Caenorhabditis elegans: one gene and its partners. The protein of the gene in region 3 interacts with the protein of the main gene of each other region in a pairwise test. Each region holds a gene or a part of one and is shown on either strand. Other genes may lie near its edges.

The links.
Region 1: the proteins of unc-23 (region 3) and F31E3.2 interact in a two-hybrid assay, tested with the Caenorhabditis elegans proteins (one large-scale study listed by BioGRID).
Region 2: the proteins of unc-23 (region 3) and hsp-25 interact in a two-hybrid assay, tested with the Caenorhabditis elegans proteins (one large-scale study listed by BioGRID).

The regions. Positions count from the first base shown.
Region 1 is NC_003281.10:6,971,992-6,979,169, forward strand, and holds F31E3.2 (Putative serine/threonine-protein kinase F31E3.2), read left to right. Parts: upstream 1-2,346; 5' UTR 2,347-2,470; coding exon 2,471-2,614; intron 2,615-3,708; coding exon 3,709-3,787; intron 3,788-4,064; coding exon 4,065-4,124; coding exon of another isoform or gene 4,125-4,150; exon of another isoform or gene 4,151-4,328; coding exon 4,329-4,426; intron 4,427-4,480; coding exon 4,481-4,636; intron 4,637-4,678; coding exon 4,679-4,865; intron 4,866-4,911; coding exon 4,912-5,203; intron 5,204-5,249; coding exon 5,250-5,310; intron 5,311-5,356; coding exon 5,357-5,605; 3' UTR 5,606-5,844; coding exon of another isoform or gene 5,845-5,880; 3' UTR 5,881-6,029; downstream 6,030-7,178. Other genes in the region: rfc-4 (Replication factor C subunit 4), read left to right, coding at 269-330, 377-455, 501-595, 644-704, 770-1,026, 1,074-1,206, 1,260-1,490, 1,538-1,624.
Region 2 is NC_003284.9:6,033,117-6,041,918, reverse strand, and holds hsp-25 (SHSP domain-containing protein), read left to right. Parts: upstream 1-2,274; 5' UTR 2,275-2,455; coding exon 2,456-2,493; intron 2,494-2,682; coding exon 2,683-2,825; intron 2,826-3,976; exon of another isoform or gene 3,977-4,059; intron 4,060-4,217; exon of another isoform or gene 4,218-4,224; coding exon 4,225-4,362; intron 4,363-6,144; coding exon 6,145-6,250; intron 6,251-6,815; coding exon 6,816-6,939; intron 6,940-7,061; coding exon 7,062-7,172; 3' UTR 7,173-7,456; downstream 7,457-8,802. Other genes in the region: ipp-5 (putative type I inositol 1,4,5-trisphosphate 5-phosphatase), read right to left, coding at 7,882-7,908, 8,641-8,802.
Region 3 is NC_003283.11:8,934,574-8,941,118, forward strand, and holds unc-23 (BAG domain-containing protein), read left to right. Parts: upstream 1-1,785; 5' UTR 1,786-2,045; coding exon 2,046-2,057; intron 2,058-2,641; exon of another isoform or gene 2,642-2,820; coding exon of another isoform or gene 2,821-2,829; coding exon 2,830-3,579; intron 3,580-3,628; coding exon 3,629-3,777; intron 3,778-3,878; coding exon 3,879-4,149; intron 4,150-4,510; coding exon 4,511-4,705; 3' UTR 4,706-5,111; downstream 5,112-6,545. Other genes in the region: T19A5.3 (DUF148 domain-containing protein), read right to left, coding at 5,366-5,461, 5,548-6,164, 6,294-6,406, 6,452-6,545.

The DNA of each region.
Region 1 (7,178 bases), on a different chromosome or scaffold from region 3:
AAAATAAACCAACAAAAAACCAACATGATTAGTCAGATGACCAGAAAACTCACGTTAATTTCACAAGGCCCAAAAAAATCTCTCCCCCTCTCGTTGCTGCCTGCACATCTAACTCCTAGCACGAAAATGTACCGTACACCATTTCAAACACTCTCGGCGGGAGTGTTGCATACTTTTTCTCTCTGGCAGTTTATTTTCAATAAATTCTTCATTTTTATATTGTATAATGTCTTTATTTTATGAAAAATTCATTAATTTAACAGAAACAATGGAAGAACCAATGGAAGTTGACAATAAAAGACCAAAGGTGCTCACCTGGACAGAAAAATAGTTAGTTTTTTGTTTTTCGATTTGCAAAGTAAATTCAAATTTTCAGTCGTCCAAAAACGCTAGACGATATTGCATACCAGGATGAAGTCGTCACAATGCTGAAAGGAGCGCTTCAAGGAAGAGACGTATTGCTTAAAAAATTATTCAAACTAATCGTTTTAATTTTTCAGTTACCACATCTTTTGTTCTATGGACCACCAGGTACTGGTAAGACGTCAGCAGCTCTTGCATTTTGCCGCCAACTCTTCCCAAAAAATATTTTCCAGTAAGTGAAATACTGGGTGATAATTTTTTCCAATAATTATATTTTCAGCGATAGGGTTCTTGATTTGAATGCATCGGACGAGCGTGGTATTGCAGTTGTTCGTCAAAAAGTAAGATTGCCACTGATTTTTAATTAATTAAGAATTCCATAATTATAAAAACGTTTCCTGTTTAGATTCAATCCTTCTCCAAGTCATCTTTGGGCCACAGCCATAGGGAAGATGTTCTCAAATTGAAAATTATCATACTTGATGAAGTTGATGCGATGACCCGAGAAGCACAAGCAGCAATGCGCAGAGTTATTGAAGATTTTTCCAAAACTACTCGCTTCATTCTCATCTGCAACTATGTTTCCCGATTGATTCCTCCAGTTGTGAGCCGTTGTGCCAAGTTCCGATTCAAATCACTTCCAGCCGAGATTCAAGTTCAAAGGTGAAATTTCAAAATTAAGTGTTTTTTATAACTTTCGGTGTTTTTAGATTGAGAACAATTTGTGATGCAGAAGGAACTCCCATGAGTGATGATGAACTGAAACAAGTTATGGAATATTCAGAAGGTGATTTGAGACGAGCTGTATGTACACTTCAGTCATTGGCTCCAATTTTGAAAAGTGTTAGTTGTTTTTTCTATAAATATTGTGTAAAAATAGTACTTTATATTTCCAGGGCGATGACAATGCTCGAAATTGCTATCTCCGTGGTTCTTCGGACAGTTTACTCATTTCAAACGTTTGCAAATCAATCCTGACTGCTGATGTTCCCCAAATAATTGCATTGACAAAGGATATCACAAAATCGTGCACTGGTGTTGCTTTCATTCGTCGTTGTTTCCAACAGTTGATGGATGAAGATGTTATCAATGACGAGAATATTGGAGTAATGGGGAAACTGGTTGCGGTTGGTGGAAGATGAATACATAAATAGAAATGAAAGTTCAATTTCAGACTTGCGAAAAGCGAATTTTGGATGGATGTGATTTGGAAAACAATCTCCTCGACTTTCTGCTCACTCTTCGTGAAACTATCCAATGATAAATTAACACAATACGGTTTCAATTTGCCCATTGATTTCTCAACTTCAAAATTCACGTGTACTATATATAAATTTTAACATTCTATAAACAATAGTTTTGTGCTCAAATTTCGACAAAACATTGAGATTATTATATTTTTTTGAAGGTACAATTCGGCTTAGGTTTTTTTTCAGTTGAATACAAAATATCGAATAGGATAGTTTGGAATAAATAACTACTAGTTCCCTCCCAACTATTTTGCTCTCCGCTCAGTTTTTCACCCTCTGTCGCCCATCGATTTTCGCTCCTTGAAGACTCGGCTCCCCTTCCATTTTCTAAGTAATCTCGCCCCATTGAGCAGTTTTCATTTTTGGTATGAAGCTGAAGAAGTGGAAGTATCCAATTTCAAGAGCTTTTTTGTCTCAAGCAATTTGTGTGAGAATTTGAATTGAGGCAATTTTGAATCCCATTTCATTGTGAATTTCTTTTCTACTATAGCTCTGCTTCATTTTCCATATGATTTCAATTGAAGCTTCCTGACTCTGTACTAATATTAGAGAAAGTGGGGTCAATTCGAAAGTCCACCGTCTGATCAGTACTCAAATTTGATCGAGTCAATGTGTCTCAGTGCTTATAATCCGTGTACCTGCTCCTGATCACACTTGCTCACTGTCTCTGTTTGCTCTTTTCCTGTATGTTTGTGTCCTTCTTCTTCTCCTCCTCCTGCTCCCAAAAATTCTTTCATCATTCCGCCACAACCACGGGACATTCCGTTTTCTTGTTAATCACTCCTACTGTCTGTTTTTCCAAAAAACTTTCCTCGCCATCACCGTCTGGCCGGCTTACAGCTGCTACAGCAGCAATAATGGGTAACGTGGCGACTAGAAAACGGCCCGGATGTCATCATCACATTGGAAGAAATGAGGAAAATCTAGACGACGATGAAGATGGACCAGCGAAGAAAAGATTAAGAATTGGAGAACCGCAGGCTGAAAATGAATATCAAAAGGTGACTGAGAACTGAAAAAACCTTGAAAGATCCACTTATTTTCTTTGTTTTAACTAAAAAATTATTCAAAAACTCAGACAAACCATATCATACTAACTCAGAGTAAAAAGCGGAGTTACATAATGGTAAAGCACACTAACCGCAGTTCGGTGCAAGTGTGGTTTTACTCGGAGTAACCACGCTTTACTATGCCTAGCTCATTCCTAGATCTGCCTAACTATGCCTAGCTCGGAATTGGTCTGATTGTACTTTGTCGATCTGATTTACTCTGAATAACTCTTCCTAACTATGTTTAGAGCTGCCTAACTATGACTTAATAGGAGTTAGTATGATATGGTTTGTCTGAGAAGTCATCATGATGATGCATCAGTCATTTCAAGGAAGGAAGTTTCCTCTCCAAACAGTGACTCTTCAGCTCCTTTTGAGTTCTGAAATAGGCGATATTTCCGAATTTATGGGGTTATTCAAGTAATGTAGCAAAATGTATTTAAATACATTTGTGACGTCACAAATGTATTTAAATACATGTTTTTTTTACTTGAATACATGTGTGACGTAATTTTTCTACACTTTTTAATTTTTTTTTTCCCGACACTACTTGAATAACCCCATAATTTTTGAGTCAGAAAATCAGTACCCGGTGTCGGCACGACAATTTTTTGTTAAAGGCAAAAAGGTGTGCGCCTTCAAAGGTTACTGTAGTTTCTAAAATTTTCTGCGCAGATTCTGTGAAATTATGATTTTTGAAGTCTTTCGATAAAAATATGGTTTTTTTTTCATTAAAAAATTGAATAAAACAGTAACAATAAATAAACTTTTACAAATCATATGAATCATGAGAAATACTATTTATGAAAAACACACCGTATATTTGGCCCAAAAATGTGGGCCATACTCATTTCGTGAAAAATTATCATCTGGTGTGCTTTGATGTTATAGCATGTTTTCTTAAAGAATTACACTCTAGTATCATTACTCAAAATGTTTAATTCTAAAGTCTACTTGATGTCTTCTTGATCTGATCATTACACTATCAAGAAGTATCAATTTTCTCTATACAAACATCAGACTACAGTAATCCCCCAATTCTTCAGCTCGCCTTCAAATCTCGTCTACAAAAACTGAAAAAATGTCGTCCTCACTTGAAAAGAAGAACGTATAAAGTTGAAGAAGGTACGATCTCCAGATTTGATTTCCACAATATTAAAAAAAAAGAGCATTGTTTACCTACATTTGTGAGTACATCTCAATGGCAGCCCACTTCTTAATCTTGATAATGATCCGTATTTCGGCGGGACACACTTAAGATCAATGACATCAGGTGATTTGTGATGTACTCTCTGGATTTGATAATACACAATAATGGTAATCTTGCTGATGTGAACTTCTGAAAGCCAACTTTGAAGAAAAAAAATTCTAGAGACAAAAAAAAAAGATTAAAAATTTGCAGCTGATCCCCGTCCACCAGTGCCAAGATTCATTGTAGACGATTATGGTGATTATGAAAAACGTATGTTTTGCTGTATCATGAGGTAGTCACGTGTTCCAGGAGGTTCCAGGAGGTCTTCTGGAACACGTGGCTATCACTCGAGAGGATAACGTTTTAAGATAAGTCACTGTAACATGATATTGAAGCCACACTCCCAAAAATCAAAGTTTCCATTTCCGAGGGTTTTAACAGCTTCCTAGAGTAACTGGCCTCCCAATTTTTCAGCAGAACCCACACGAAAAGAGTTCGCAATTCCCTGGTTCGAGCATCTCTTCCTACCTGAATTTCCAACTCGAAGTGTTATCAACGAGAAAAGTTTTGTGGTAGGAACTATTTTCATTCACTTATTTTTTTTTCAAAATGAAATATAATTTCAGTTAGAAAGACAGCTTGGTCGTGGTTCATTTGGTGTTGTTTATTGTGCCAGTGCAATTCATGATTCAGAGAGGAAGTTTGCTATCAAAATGCAAGAAAAAAGGGAGATCATTTCAAAACGAGCCGTTTTACAGGTCAAACGAGAAGCTAGTATACAGGTTTGCCAGCAAGACGTTACATCCGATCATTCACATTTTCAGCGTCTTCTTCCTTCTCATCCATTCATCGCCAGAACTTATTCTACGTGGCAGACACGTACTCATCTCTATTCTTTACTACAGTACCCAACTGGTTCAACTGGTGACTTGTTTTCAGTATGGAGGCAACGGGGATCTCTTTCAGAAGCTGCTATTAGGTTGATTGGAGCAGAGTTAGCATCAGCTATTGGTAATATAATAACGGTTATGTAAGAAATTCGGTGTTTTATTTTCAGATTTCCTACACCAGAATGACGTGATCTATCGAGATGTAAAACTGGAAAATGTAGTTCTAGATCAATGGGGTCACGCCTTGCTAATTGATTTTGGTTTGGCAAAAAAGCTGAAACAAGGTTCTAGTACCGGAACAATATGTGGAACATTACAATACATGTCACCTGACGTGGCATCTGGTGGAACATATTCTCATTATGTTGATTGGTGGTCATTAGGTGTACTCTTGCATATTTTATTAACTGGAATATATCCATATCCAAATTCAGAAGCCACACATCATGCTAATTTAAAGTAAGTTCACATCACAGATTTTAGAATAATCTCTTATGCTTTTCAGATTCATTGACTACAGTACTCCTATAGGATGTTCACGTGAATTCGCCAACCTTATGGATAGAGTGAGTTCAGAAACTCGGAAAAAAACGTTAATATCATTAGTTTCAGATGTTAGCAGTTTCCATAACCCATCGTTTATGCTCATTCACTGTTCTTCACGCCCATCCATTTTTCCGATCCATTGACTTTTCGAAATTGGAACAAAAAGATTACACACCTGCAGCGGAAATTGGTAACGCTGAATATGATACTTATCACAAAAGTGAGGACGCGTTGGATGATGCTTTGTTCAAGGAAAATTATGATGTGAGTTGCGGAAGAAATGTAATTTTTGCAGTATTGCCGGTTTTTTGGTAATCTGCCAAATTATTGAAAAATTGAACTTTTTGAGAAACTCGGTGCATTCTTGCATGTTTAAATTCTACAATTTTTGAATATTTATTCATCAGTTAAATATAAAACTGTGAAAATATTTTTTCGATCGACTTCCAATATTATGAAAGGTGAAAACTGAGTAATTGCCATTTTGACAGCAAATTAAAATTTCACTATCTGACCTCAAAAACTAAATATGCAAATCAAATATTATATTTCAGTTCGACCGTTTTGACTATTTCAATGATCGATTCTAATGTGATGCATATCGATTTGAGGGTTGGAATGAAAACGAGCTCTTTTTATTGCTCCGTCACTCTCTTTTACTCTGTGATAAAATACCCTGTTACCATCATCATCAATTCACTTTTCTGTATGATACGGGCGCTAATAAATATTTTACAACATGCTTGATTTCCCACAGATTTCGTTTAAACATATATCATAACCATCAAATGGGATGTTCTACATGTAGAACAAATTATACTTTCTTCCAATAAATACAGAATTAAAAATTTCCTAAATAAATATGAACTGTTTTGGGATTTTTTACACTTATTTTCAAGGCTGCGATAAGAACGGTCAAACTTTCATAAAAAATTGAAATATCTGGAAAAGTGGAGATACAAGCAGTACTCAGTAATACCCTGAAGCTTATTTTATTTCCTAGTTAGGTGTTAAATATTTCTTAAGCTAAGAATTTCGTAAATCGATTTATTTATAAATCTAGCTATGTAAACATAGTCATGGAGATATGCCTACATTCCTACGCATTCGATGCAGCTGAGGGTTTGGCAGATTTCCTTTAACTTGATGATCGTAACCTTTTCAACTCCTTCGCAAAAAAATAGGGTAACCGTAAATGCATAAATCTACCCTTATCTAGGTACCATCAAATAGCTCACGCATAAGATAGGAATCTGACAATAGTATGAAAACATTACTGAGAAGCTTACTTTCGGTCTTCAGTGTAGAAACATAAATACCTTCCTTTGGGCCGTCTACGTCTAATTTGTCGTTAGGCCGTTACTCGGTATTCAAAACGAGTTACACCCACGGTAGGCACGCAGATGGGCCTTTCCGTAACTGAGTGGAAGATACTCGATTTAGCACTTAATTTACTGTATATTTTCTGATTCAAATTCTAGACCACTATGTATTTCTTCAACTCATCAATCATTCCCCGCTTCTCACTTTAAAAAAAAAATAATAATAACAATATGGTTGAGTTGACCCAAAGCCGTAACAACAACGGTCATTTCCATCGGCTGGCTGTGTGGTCGAGGGAAGGATCCATTACAATCGCAATAAATGCGGATTCAAAGCGCAAAATCCCTGCGTCTCCCTTCAATTGTTCAATGTCTAATAGTTCTTCTGGCAGATGATACGTCCTCACAACATCTGGCCTTTCCTTCCTTCCACTGCTACAAACACACATAGCAAAGGTCATCTCCTGATGTCTCTAGGTCTCTTCGAGTAAATGAAGAGGGTCTTTCTCTGTTGTTTCGAAGGAACCGCTACGCTGACACGCGACGCACGTCAAATGTCAACTTGT
Region 2 (8,802 bases), on a different chromosome or scaffold from region 3:
TGGACATCTAAAAACAAAAATAGTTGAAACTCAAATTGTGTCAAAATGAACAAATTTTGAAATAATATTTTTCAAAAATACACATAAACTTTTTTATGGCGGTTCAAAATTTCAAGAAAAATTACCCAATTTTAGCTAAAGCTTTTATTTTGCCAGCCTTTTTGGGCCACAGTCGTCGAATCAGTTTCTTTTGAATTATCATTGTTTATTGCGCATTTTGGCATTTTTAATTTTATAGGTATCCAAAAACGACAAAAATGACTAACATTCAATGTTAAATGACTAAAAAAAAGAATTAGCTCTAATTATGTGATTTTTTTTCCCAATTTTCAAACTGCCATAAAACTTTTTCGAAAAAATATGGAGCACTCTCATTACAAAATTTATCGACCAAGACACATTTTGAATCAATACAAATAGAAAATCAAGGTTGATACCGTTTTTTTGTGGCGTACCGAAATCTTGTTGACAATATTCTAAGCTTTAGCTGAAAATAAACCGTTCTTTTTCCAAAACTCACTATCAGCCCGAAAGCGATTCTCCACTTTTAATTAGTGAGAAAAAAGTTACCCTATCAACTTTGTTCTAACAACTTCCTTATTAACACATCCCCTACGCTTCTCTGCTTATCATCCTTCTCTAACGATCAAATGTGCATGATCATTAAAATGTATCTCTCCATTAAATCAAAACGATAAGAACGCCGTCTTCTCCATTTTCGTGACCGGCCATTATCATTTCCACCCAGTCAGCCGCATTATGTGTACATCTTCATTTCGCGCGCTTTTCCCAAACATTTTCCCAAACATCTGCGCGCGTTCACTTTGAAGAAATCAACAAAAATTGATTGAATACAGCTGTGGTGTTACAGCAAACGGGGGGGGGGGGGGCAACAAACCGAGGTCCAAGATGCTTTTCGCCGTTGGCAATCGGGGGGGGGGGGTACCTCTAATTTTTTGTCAGCTGGCTGGCTGGCAGCGTGATATCCTCTTACCCCTTGGCCAGAATTTCTCTGCTCCTCATCTACACCCCCTCGAGCCTATCAACACCCACATAAACTAAACAACAAATATTGCAGTTCAGGACAGTGAACCCTCCTTAGTGCTCATACTTAGTGCAATGATGTTAGCATACACACACATATGTGCGTGTCTCCGTCTTATATTCTTATTCTCTAGCGATTTCAGTCACTCGTCCTCCACTATTTAATTGAGAGCTCATATTTTCCGTTTGTTCAGTATCTTGTTCTCAATTCAAATTCGCTTGACATTTATACCCTCTTCCCATTTCAACTAATTCATTTATCCAAAATTCTTATGACGTCACTAAAGTATCAAGAGAATGTAATCTACTTATAATTCTTCGTGCAGTTTAAAAATGTTAATCATCATCTCGTAATAGTTATTTTTGATTTATTATCTCCTTCTTATCTCTACTACAAAGCACGTTTATAAAACATGTCTTACTAAGTAAGAAAGGGTTTGAAGATTTCACCGGACTACGAGACATGTATCATTTGAAAGCCCCTGAATTGGCCCAATATGAACTCTAAGCTACAAATTTTCAGAAATCTCATAGATGCTCACAGCAGCATGGCTCACCATCGGTGCTCTGGGGACATGTGTGGTATGGTAGCAGGCAGAAATTATGTTTTTGTCAATACACACTTTTGTAATATCATAAAAAGCTCGGAAATTTTCTGATTTTTATTCAAAAATTATTTTTATTTGTATATTGACAAAAAGGTTTTTTTTTCAAAAAAATCCCACACGATTCATACAATAACAAAAATAATACACTCTAGCCAAAAACAATTTTTCTATCTGATACCACCATCACACCTGTCCTGAGAGCACCGATAATGCGCTACTTATGGTACTCTGATCATCTTTAAGCTCACCGCAAGATTAGTTCTGAAACATTGCAGCTCAACGTTAATTTGTTCATAATTTTTCAATACGGGCTTCCAAATTAAACATGCCTTGTTTAAAAGTCCGGAGGCACTTTCAGACCTTTTTATAGTTAGGGAATTAGTATGGACAAACTGTTGAAGTCTTGTACATATTTATACATATGAAAAAAATTTTGAGATGATTTAGTGTTTTTCATTTTTCAGTTTTCGACATATGTAGTTGCTTAATGTTTCAAGATACTTTCAAATTTCTAAAAAAAAAACGCGAACATTGCTCAACTCACGTGTTGTCAAAAACTATTTATTTTTCAAATAAAAAACTACTGTTGGTTGGAAGGAAAGCATTTGTCGATCATCTAGTCGGAAGAAAGCATTTTCCGATAATTCAGAACTTTGGAATGTGCTTCGACAACGATGAAAATGCTTTTTGCCTTTCCGATATTTTTCCCCGTGCTTTTTTCACAAGGCGTACAAAGACGAAAAAGCATCAATGGTGGTTAGAGCCAAATCATAACAAAAAAAGTTTCATTTTATATTTCCATCATGCCCACGTACACTCGAACTTACTCCTATAGTAAAAGGTATGGTCCATTTTTCCGATTTCGAATTCCCACTTCACACTTTTCAATGACGTTGTTAAGTTTAAAATTTTCAAATCGCAGTTTTACGGTTTTGTTTGCGTTTTCATAACGCATCATAACTTTCATATCATTTTTATCTACCTCTATCGAAAATGTATAAAAAGTTTGACTATTCGCACAATTTTGCAGAGAAATGTCGGAACGCCGTATCGACGTAAACCGTTCCAACTACTCGGTCATTGACAATGAATTTGGAAATATGCGTGATCGTTTTGAGCAAGAGATGCGTCGTGTTGAGGAGGAGATGAAACGTCTTCGCAGTGAATTTGAAGGTTGGTTTTTTAAATTTATTTTAAACTAAATATTTTTTTCTAATTGTGGAAATCTACTTTTAAGTTAAATATGTAGTCGTCAATTTTTTCCCGTATTTTACAATTAGATATATTTTTCAGCACTTTTTAAAAATGCAACTAGTTAGAACATTAGATTTGATTAGTTTAAAACCAGTTCTCATTACAGTTGAAAAGCTGTATGAAAAGGTTCAAAAATAATCTGATGGGTCAATTTTCCCAACATCTGCCAGAAACTTTCAGGCTAATTGTTCATAATTTCAACCGATTGTAAAAGAACTCGTACTCCTCAACCTATAAAAAACAAATATAGCTAATTTTGTTTTATCAATTGTTTTTCTAATATTAATTTTTTATGAAAAACATCTGACCAAGATTTTGAGCAACATAATAGACAAGATGTTATAGCCAAAAAATTTTCTCAAAAAAGTTGAAGTTTCCGCCTAACATATTTTTTAAAAAGTGTGAGTTCCCAGCTAATCCTTTTTAGAGCAATACAATAATCCCTCCACTACCTTTTTCAAAAAATTTGAGTTTTTCTCCAAAAAATATTTTTCTTAAAATTAGATTTTTCCGCCAAGTTTTACCTAACTCTTTCAAAACTATTTCAGTTTTTAATTTTCAAAAAATTGAAATTTTTAAGTGGAATTCAGTTTCAAATAGGTGTTCTCCATTTTTTGGAATGTTATAAACCCCCGAACTTGTCCAAGCGAGACAACTCACATTCATCCTGTGTTCTTGTGTGTTTCGATGTATTTCGTCACCACATTCCACTTATTTTTCTTTTGTTGTTATGTTTCTCAGTTGGCACGTCGAACTTGGCAAAAAAAAACCTGAGAGCGACAGCTGATGTTTGTTCATTCGTTTTTGAGATTATAAGTAGAGCATACAAAATGAGCACTTTGAAGAATAATGTACCAGGATGATCCGGAAAGTAGATTTAAGAACCAATACTTTCGATTGAAAATTGCGCTACACAGCATTATAGATTTTTGTGTAATAATTTAAGCTTTCTCTTCAATTTCACAAACCCATATTTTACAAAAAAAGTTGTTTTCGAAAACATTCCTGCCTCTTATTTTGGAGAAAAAAGGCCTCTTGACAATATTTTGAGAAAAAGCTGAGAAGAACACAAAGAAAAGAGGACAACGTCATTTTCCGGACCCTCACTGACCAAATTTCATTTCGCGGTGCCTAATGCACTGGAACTGCGCCAGTGACAGCATTCACCTTAACTTTCTTCGAAATTTGTCATTTTCGTCTTCAAATCTCTTGCCGAAATATTAGTGCGTTATCCCCCCGACTACGTCAATTAGTTCAACACTTTAAAAGCAAGGTCACCTTGCGTTTGGAGACAGGGTGATGAGGTTCATGATTGCAGGCTATCGTCCAAACGGAGGCCCACCGGCTGCCATCTCCAATCAGCCGTACAACGCCTACTCGAACACTTCTTCTCACCACGAGACTTCGAACCGTACTGGTGGATTCGGATCTCCACTTCCACCACCATCTTTCCACGGTTAGTTTGTACACAGTTATTTGAGATAGAAAAAAAATTTGCTGAAAGGTTTCAAAGAAAAAAAAACTTCCCAACTTTCCACAACACAACAGCATTTTTTTGGTATGCTGAAAACTGCTCCTTCTAGCATGATAATCCAATTCTTGAATTAAAAATTATACATAGTAAACGTGTAGAATAATATTTGGTCAATTTTGAACAAGATTTTTATTTATTTAGAAAGTTCGAGAAAAACCAGAAATAGTGCCCGAAAGCTGCCCTTATGTCGTTAAATTTTTTTCGGCAAACGACAATTTTCAGACACTATTTAAAATATTATTTGGAACTTTCTACAAACATATATATATATATATATATATATTTAATATTGAGCTTTTTTTCCTACATTCGTATATTTATTTTAATTTTAAAAAATGGATATTCATATTTTTTGAAAGATTTTCTGCAAAGCCCTTATGAACACCTCCAATCCCATTGTTTCACAGCGCTAGAAAAAAACCCAAATGGATGGTTGCAAAATGAAGAAATTTTCAGTGGCTGCATGCCTATGTGTGCTTAGCGTGGGGGCACTTCTTCATCCTCCTTTTCCCTCTCTTCCTTCCTTTTTTTGTCGTCGTGTTCCAATAACTGGCCATGCAAAAAAACATGTTTTCTAAGACTCGTTTCTTGTTCTTGATGGCTTTTCAAAACAGGATTTCTTGAATCGGTATGAAAGTCAAACGGAGGATTCGTCATATTTTGGCGATAACGATTCGGAAAATTTTCGAATTTTAGGACGGGAGGGAGAAAGGAAATAGCAAAGGGACGAATAACGCATCATTCAGCGTATGAAATTATCTGCAGCCGGCATCAATTTTGAATTTTCACTCACTCCGTTTCATTTTCATCCATCCATTCGTCATTTTAACTCTTTCCCTTACTATTATTCGCCCATCATCAATCAGAGTAAAACTCAGAATGGGCATGATATGAGCCGGCCAACTCACAAACTCTTTTTGTCAGTTTGGTTTGACACAGAAAACAAGGACAAACTAAGAGCATACTTGTAGAAAAGTAATGTGTCGTTGGAAATTCCCAATTGCACAATTGAGACGGGCTCACCAGATTTTTTTTTCGTCAAAAATATAGTTTTTTTTTCTGTTTCGTAGTGACCTTTTCATGCAGATTTCAACTTTTTAATATCAAAAGTGGGATTTCGCAAAAAAATAACTAAATCTCTAAAATGTTTTAGACATTTTAAAGATTTTCCTAAATGCCTAGTTTAAGTTAAAATGACAAATTTTTGAAAACAATTAGAGCTTTCCTGCAAATTTGAAGCCTTTAAATTATTGAATAAAAATATTTAAATCTATATTAAAAATTCACACCATAAGAAAAATTTTAAAAAATTTGCCCGGAGGTTTTTGTGCATATTCCTCATCTACCAATGTTTATGTTTTCATATTAGGTTTTTTTTCTTTTGACCAATTTTGCTTATTTATCGATGGTTCCCAACAACACTACGTCGGTATTAAATTTCAGCGCAACATTTTTTTCTTTTTTGCCTTTCTGCGGGTTTCTGTGAATATGTTCTTTTTGTTGTGAACTCGCAAAATATATTCAAAACCAAATTATTACACAGTAGTTTTATGCACTCAGCACATCCTGAGAGGTCGCGTAGGCAGCCGCATAGCAACATTTCGGCAACAACACTGCAACCTCGGCGACGAGTTTTGCTCTATTTTCTATTGTTGTGCTACGTCGCATTCGCGTTTTTCATATTATTCACTTTTTTTGTTGCAGGACCCAGCGACTTGATGGCTCATCGTCCAACCTACGATCCATACTTGGACAACTTGAAGAGCCCACTCATCAAGGATGAAAGTGATGGAAAGACTCTTCGTCTCAGGTACTTTTTTGAGGCATTTTCAACTCTTAGATTAAGTTAAAAGATTCAAATTTTATTCGAAAAATATTAAAAATATAATTTTAATTCTGTATTTACCGGCCTCAAACTATTCAAAATAACGAACTCAAATTTTATAAATATTCTGAAAATTATCTAAATGTTTCCGATTTTTCAAAACTTTCAGACAAAGTAGTGAAAAATCTCCAAAAGTTAAAATCTTTGAATTTTTGTGATGTTCAAATAACTCGTCCAAGTTCAAAGCCAAACAATGTATGAATGAAAGTATTGAGGAAAAAAATCGCCTTAACTTTTTCAAAAATCAATTTCCAAAGTTGAAAAAATATTTTCAAAGTTATTTTTTTAAATTATACATAAAAATTTTACTCTTATTCCAAGCATGAATATCAATCACATTTCATTTTGGTTAGCTCTAAATTCAACAAACTCATAAAATTGAAATTTCGAGTCAAAAAAATCTGTACCATAACCGAAAAATTGATAAAACTTATTTTTTACCAGTCAAGAGAAAAACTGAATTTTTTATTTAACAAAACTGAAATTCCAGATTTGACGTAGCTAACTACAAGCCAGAGGAGGTTACCGTCAAGACTATTGACAACCGTCTTCTTGTCCACGCCAAACACGAGGAGAAGACCCCACAACGCACCGTTTTCAGAGAGTACAACCAGGTGGGTGTTTTTTATTTTTATTTTAGAATTCAAACAGTTCTCTTGGGGCTAAAAATATGGAGCGAGGCCCCAAGGTGTCACTCTTCATTCAGTTGCATTAATCTATACAATCAAATTTCCAGGAATTCCTTCTTCCAAGAGGCACCAACCCAGAACAAATCTCATCGACTCTTTCGACTGATGGCGTGCTCACTGTCGAGGCTCCACTCCCACAATTGGCAATCCAGCAATGAAACCAAAAATATCGCCGCCTGCTTCCTCACCAACCCGAATAACGCAACAAAAACTTTACATTTTTCTAATAAATCAACTTTTTCTTGTAGTGTAAATCATTAAAACTTGTAGACTCAACCATAATCCTTTCTTTAAACATGTTTACGATTCATTTTCCAATTCAATCCGCTTCATTTTTCAATACATTTAATACCTACAAATCTTATTGGTTGTTCATCAATTTTCTGGAGTAAATGTTCATCTTTTCATTAAATCTATAATAAGATCGCAATTTTATCAAATGATTCGTTTTAACAATTGATTGATACTGATGGAAAGTGTCAGGCAAAGCAAAAAGTGTATAAGACTAGCAATACATCACTGAAAATGGAGAGAAAAAGAAACAAAAAATCGATTATGATAAAAATTGTTTTAAAAAGTTAAAGAGTTCCCCGTGCATTATATGAAAATAAAAAGAAAAAAGAAAAGAAACACGTTTCTGATCATTCAATGAAAAAATAAATTTTCTAGCGGAAAAAAGCGAACTGGGAAAAAATGGAATTTTGATAGAGTTTGAAAATTGATAGTAACAACGAGAACAAAAAGTAGGTATTCGAAACTCAGAGTTCGCGCAAGCCAATTTGAAAATGTTTATCCGTAGCTTCGAGATGAAGAAAAAAAAAAAGAAAAATGGAGGCTGGCCAAAATGAGGGAAAATGGAAAACCATGTCAGATGTTGAATGTTAGCATGACCGGCTGAAAAAATAATAATTCAAATTTTTTTGTTGATTAAAGAGTTTTAGAATTCAAAAGATTATTTAAAATAAAAACTAAAACGAGGTCTTAGTGTAGTTTTTTTTTAACATATTAATCCAATGTAATCATCATAAAGCTATTCAAAATTATATTTAAAACATGTTTTTTTTTGATATTCAAGTATTCAGGAAAGTTGTTTTCAATTTGAACACAAGTTAACTTTTATTTTGTAATTCTGAATAATTCTTTGAAAAAGTTTAAAAATAGTATTATTTAATGCTGTTCAAGCTATTTTGATATACTGTTTAAAAAAAAATTTCAAATTTTTTAAATAAAGTTTTTTTAAGGAATTATTTTTATAGCAACAACAAGTTGTTGAAAATAGTCTGAATATAATATCAAATTAAATTCACTCGAATTCTTAATAAAAATTTGACATGAATTTTCCCATTTCTTTTTCACAGCTTCCAGTCAACGTTTTCTAGTCAACTAGTCAACGACAAACTGACAAATCTTGAATAAAAATGAGTTAATTTGAGAAGTTTCAATCATTTGTGAAGATTTTCAAAACCTTTTCAAAGCATTTTTTTTAATTATAAAATCTGAGTTAAAAAAAAACCAAAAAATCTGTTAAAAAAAGATATTTGTCTCTCACTACATAAAACTACACTAAATTATGTCATTGTTAAATATAGTATTTTAATAAAAATATTCCAAAAATTAGAATATTACCTTATGATCTCCAGTACAAGTTTCCATTCCAAATGACCTATACTGAGGCTCTCCTTCTTCCACCAACGAGTATGCATTTTTATTCATCAGAACCCGATCACACCATGCGGGTGCCCTAGTCTTCATCAGAGTTTCGGAATTTTCTGGATCTTCACTCCACGG
Region 3 (6,545 bases):
ATATCATTAAAGTCAATTTGTTGGTTTTTGGAATTAGTGACAAGTGAAAACTATTTTCATATAGGTCTTTTGAAAAAACATCCGGTTTCCGGATACACATTTTAAAACGATAGCAGAGAACAACTGATAACTAAGTTAGTTGCACATTATTTACGTTATAATTGATGAAATAGAATTTTCAAGGTTTATATTTCCTCGAAACTTTTTCTGAAGTTTTCCACGTGCTAATATACAACGGTAGATTTCTGTAAAAACCTAAAGTGAGTTTTCAAAATTAGGAGAACATTTGTGGCAAAAATTCGCGTAACTTCTTAAATTACTTATACAACTATAAATGTTACACTTTGATGCAAAACTTCAAAAAAAATCATATTATGATTTTAGGAGTGTTTTCATCCGTATTTTTGTCTGAAAGCACGCTTTTTCATTTCAAAAATCCTATTATGAAACAGTGAATAGAACATTCTCGTCCAACACAAAAAACCATCGTTTTGCACATTTATTTGCGCGGTACAAACACGGATAAGGCGTTAAACTAATTTAGTTTGTGGTTTTTCAAACAGAAAAAAGGCGAAAAGCACAGCAAGTAGCATCTTCAATGTTTGGACACCGACCCCACCCGTCCTATCATTCGGTTCCATTCATTCATCACATGTTCTTCGTCTTCTTCATCTTTTTCTTCTCCTTTTGTTTCTCTATCTTACAATTTGAAGTTTAACCGACGACTTGACCACACCCTTATATAATTGATTCATCACAGTGTCTTTTGCCGTATAAAATCAATTGACCATCTAGGGTCGACGGTTCTTTGTGGTTAGTCACCCGATAAAAAATACAGCAAAGAAACTCTTTCTGCGTTCAATTTCAATATTAGATTCAGGCATTCTTGCTGATAGTAGAATATTTCAAATTCTTTTTGATATTATCATTCCTTTTGGACCATTGTGTTCGTTGACCATTTCATGGAGATCTTATCCTTCTATCCTGTCTGGGCGTTTCCCCGGAAACACATAGAAACAAACTATGAAGATCTCTTGTGGAGGGATGAAAATTGTGGTTTTGTCTGATTTTTCTGTCTACTGATAAGAGTGACTAATAAATTATGGAAGATGTGATTAGCCTAGTTTTTTATATTCTCTAAATTAAATTTATTACATAAAAATTGTATACCGACCGTTTAGATGTCAAAATTTTGAAATCAAACTTAGGGATATATAACATATCTTTAGGCATATGCGCCTACCCCATTCTTGTCTGCCTAGGTGTCCACCTATTTTCTACATTTCTAACTTTTCGGTTCTGCACATTTCAGATTTTAGATTTCAACAATTCTTATTTCATCGTTAAATTGGCAGTCATTGACAAGAGGAAGATGTAGCTCAAATTTATGCTAGTCATGCAGGCGACGTGGGGTTCTCTAATACTTTAAAAAAATCGGAAAAATATTACGAAAAAATGATCGATATCAAAAAAAAATTTTCACTTTGAAAAGTAGACACAGAAATAAAAGGTGCAGCACAGCTTCGCAGTGAAAAATATATTATAGTTGCCAAAATTTATGTTTTTGGAAAAGCTGAAAAACAACAAAACACCTCGTAAAACAGTGCCTATCATTTTCATCTCTGAATCTTCGCGTTTCACTGATTGTCTAGATTCTCAAACCAATCTCTGCGTCTCGTTTCCATATACACTGTCTCCCATCATATTTCTTCTCGAAGACTCCCGAACTGCGGAGAACTGAATGGGCGTGGCCGGGCGCCCGCCATCAATTGTTTCGTAACTCTCTTTTCTTTGCCTCTTTTTTCCGAGAGAATAGGAGACTCAGACCGTTTGTGTCAAACCGCCACCAGTGACTGACTGTCAAAACTTTTTGTTTCGGTGTCTGTGTCGCTGCTGCTTTTCCCCTGCATTGCTTTCCCACCTCTTTCTCCTCCAGAAAAGGCGAACCGGTCCGAGTGTTCCGCGCATATTGAAAGCAAACGAGACATCGACCTTCTCACATCCCATATTGCCCCTATTTTACCCTACTTGACCTATTGCTAACAATGCCAGTCGTGGTAAGTTTCAATTTTTATCAGCTGCTTCATTCACGTACCAGACATTATTTGCTCTCGTAAATTTTCCTGATTAACACTTTTCTGCAAACAAAAGAACTGGTATATCAAAAGACTCAGACGCTGGTCTAACCTGGAGGTCTACAAAAAACTGGGTTATTGTGTTTCATAATTTTCTGTCTCACGGAGCCTCGGATTCTTCCAGAAAATTGAGTCTCATCTGGCACATTTTCGCAGAAAAATTATTTTATTTTGAGAAAAAAACATTACACTGTGCCACGAGAATTGTGTTGTTATCCTCTGTTCCCTTCAATAAAGCCCTGTCTCTAAAAGAAAGACAGCTGCTTAACGTGCCTGCGTCTAGGATTTTTTACACACTGATAACTCAACTATTACAATGAAAGAGAAAAAGAATATTCTGGACGTTTTTTGATGGGTGCGAAAATGGCCTTGAACATGCAAATCGTTTGCCCGACTTATCTCAACATTTCTATCGCTAATCCATCGAAATTGAAACGTTCCATTCGACCTGTCGATAATAGGACAACAGTTCGGAGGAGAGAAACATTTAGTAGTAGAGATGGAAATTCGAAAAATACAGTTTCGAAATCGATTTTCATTTGCCTCTGCTGAAATATGATTGAAAAACGAGAAAAAAGTGGGAGGAGTCACTCTTATCAAACAGAAACACAAGAGACACTAACCAACTCACTCATTCTTATCTTTTTTGATTCTAACTTTCATTTCTACCATCCTAATATTCAGCATGTTTCAGAACATACCAATCAAAATACTTGGTCAGAATCAATCACATAGTCGAAGTAACTCCTCGTCTTCTGTTGACAACGATCGAAATCAACCACCACAGCAGCCACCTCAACCGCAACCACAACAGCAATCTCAGCAACAATACCAGCAGGCTCCAAACGTGAATACCAATATGCATCATTCCAACGGATTCTCACCTAACTTCCCATCTCGTAGTCCTATTCCGGACTTTCCCAGTTTTTCATCTGGGTTCCCAAACGATTCTGAATGGTCTTCGAATTTCCCGTCGTTTCCAAATTTCCCAAGTGGATTCTCAAATGGAAGTTCTAATTTCCCTGATTTTCCAAGATTCGGAAGAGATGGAGGACTATCGCCAAACCCACCGATGCAAGGATACAGGAGAAGTCCAACACCAACATCAACTCAATCTCCAACTTCTACATTAAGACGCAACTCTCAGCAGAATCAAGCTCCTCCACAATATTCTCAGCAACAACCACAACAAGCTCAACAACGTCAGACAACTCCTCCGTCAACAAAAGCTTCATCTCGACCACCATCTCGTACTCGTGAACCAAAGGAACCTGAGGTACCCGAGAGACCAGCAGTTATTCCATTGCCATATGAGAAGAAGGAGAAACCACTGGAGAAGAAAGGTAGTCGTGATTCTGGAAAGGGTGATGAGAACCTTGAAGAGAACATTGCCAAGATCACGATCGGAAAGAATAATTGCGAGTTATGTCCGGAACAAGAAACGGTGAGTCGAATTGAATTATAATTACACGTTTTGACATTTGTTACTTCAGGACGGCGACCCATCTCCACTAACCTCCCCAATCACCGAAGGAAAGCCAAAGAGAGGAAAGAAACTTCAACGTAATCAAAGTGTTGTTGATTTCAATGCCAAGACAATTGTTACTTTGGATAAAATTGAATTACAAGTTGAGCAGTTGAGGTGAGCATTATATTAAATTTTATTGCTGATAAGGAAATGGTTTAGAAAAGTTTCGCAATATTCTTATCTGATAATCATTCAAATTATGTTTTTTTTTTCAGAAAAAAAGCTGCTGAACTCGAAATGGAAAAAGAGCAAATTCTTCGTTCTCTAGGAGAAATCAGTGTTCATAACTGCATGTTCAAACTGGAAGAATGTGATCGTGAAGAGATTGAAGCAATCACTGACCGATTGACAAAAAGAACAAAGACAGTTCAAGTTGTTGTCGAAACTCCACGAAATGAAGAACAGAAAAAAGCACTGGAAGATGCAACTTTGATGATCGATGAAGTCGGAGAAATGATGCATTCGAATATTGAAAAGGCTAAGCTGGTATGTTTTTTTTTCTTTTGAGGTTTCTTGAACCTGAGAAATTATTTAGACTATTTTAGAAATTGTGGCAAATTACTGAATTTTTTAGTTCAAGTAAATAAAAATCTACAACGAAATCTTGCAATTTTGTCATATGTAACAAAAGTTGAATTCCTGATCTTTTACTTAAAAACAGATAATGAAAACTAGAAAATCATTTCAAATTTTTTGAATTAAACCTCCTACATTTATGCGAATAATTATGCGAGTGAACCAATTTTGAGGAACAAACAATTAATAAACTTTTTTAAATTTCGAATATTCTCAGTCAGCTCAAAGAATTTTTTCCTTTATAAATTGATTATGAACTAATATTTTTCAGTGCCTACAAACCTACATGAACGCCTGTTCGTACGAAGAAACTGCTGGAGCCACCTGCCAAAACTTCTTGAAGATCATAATTCAGTGCGCTGCTGATGATCAGAAACGCATCAAGCGTCGTCTGGAAAATCTGATGTCTCAAATTGAGAATGCTGAGAGAACGAAAGCAGATTTGATGGATGATCAAAGCGAATAGAAATTGTGTAAATTGTGTATAGATACTCATGTTTTTTCTAGTAAGTATTGCCTAATTTTGACATGAATCTCTTTTGTCTCCAGCCCTTTTTTTAGAGTGTCTTTTGTGAATTTCTGTTGAAATCTTTGTAGATTTTTTTGCTGATTGATGTCTATTTAAATGTTTCTGTGATTTTTCATGAGTTTTCAGAGCCATAGAATTTTCATTCATAATTCTTCCATTCTTTTTCACTCGTTTTGTCATTCATTCATTCCTCCTACGGTTGTCCCTTTTCTGGAACTTGTCCCTCTTCGTTTCTCAAATTCAAAGCACAAGTAATTGTTCATTTTTATTTTATCATGTTTTTTTTTCTTCAAAATTTGTTTTACAACAATCTGAATAAATAAATAGTGGATGGCAAAAAAAACTGAGCAGAATCAAAAGAATGAACAGACAAAGAAAGAGTGTTCGCAAACAAATTCGAGTTGCTCGAAAAATGTGAGTTATCCCGTTTTGAGGTCGATCGAAATGCAGTGGAAATGCAGAAGAAGGAAGAAAAAAGTGGGGAATAAAACTATGAGAAGGGAATGAGTTAGGTAGTGAGACTCTGGTGAATTGAATTTTGTAAAATAAAAACTAAAAAATAAATTAGGGGAATTCAATGTGAAAGAGGAGAAGAAATTATTTTCCTGAAGTTTTGAAAAGATATTCAAGTTGTGGAGGAACTGTTGGCAAGAGATCAGGTGGTGGTTGGAAGTTCTTGGCGAATTTTACGAACTGAAACAAAATTGGCTTTTTTTTTTTGATTCATTCAATTCGTTTTTTTTTTTCGAAAATTTAAAGATTTTTTAAAATGTTTGTACCTGATCTTTGAATACATCCATAGCTCCAGCAGTATTAGCCCATCTTTGAAGTCTTTGAAGATTATCTAATCCAATTGTTCTATCAACATGACCCAACAATTTAGCCTGTGAATCTAGTTTTTGAGATCCGAGAGCCACTTCCAAAATATCAATGAAAGCTGCCTCTGGTGGAGTTCCGTTCTCAAAATGATCAATAACTTGGTTGAATCCTGTGTCGGCCTTGCTTAAAACACTCAAAAGAGCCGATGGTTTTACAGTTGTTCCAGTATTTTCAACTTGATCAACTTCTTGTCCACTGTATGGAGACTTCCCTGCTGCGGCACCTCCAAGACCAACAGCTGGAACTGGTGGTGGGGGAGCTCCGCCTGGGAATACTGGGGGTCCGTATCCGTCTCCAGTTGGTCCCTTGGAACGAGAGAGTGCCGATTCTCCAGTGAAAAATTCTTCCTCTGTTGGTCCGGCGGCTGCCGTATCTCCTCCGAAATCTGGATCAGGTCCCGATGGTGGTGATGGTGCAGCTCCTCCAAATGGAGATCCGCTTCCGAAGCCACCACCACCACCTCCGAATCCTCCTCCCCCACCTCCGAATCCACCGCCACCGCCTCCGCCTCCGAAGCCTGGAAACCGAATTTTTCGTTATTTTAAACTTAATTTATCAAGTAAAACTAGTGTTATCTTTGTATACTCATCCTGAAAAATTAATCTACTTTTTTCAAAAATATTTTTAACTTTAAAAAAGCACATACTTCCGAAGCCTCCAGCGCCTGCAAACTCTTTTGGTGGTGAAACTGGACGGAGACCCGAATTTTGAGGAATTACAACTGGCTCATCCTTGTCGATTGCAGCATTTGGTTGTTTTCTAAATCACATCTTTTCATGAATATAAAATTTTAAGATTAATTACCGTTGAACATGTTTTGGTTTCTTTGGAACTGGCTTCATTGTTGTAGTTGCTGGTGTGGTAGTTGTTGGTGCTGCAGTTGTCGTGGTTGTTTCTT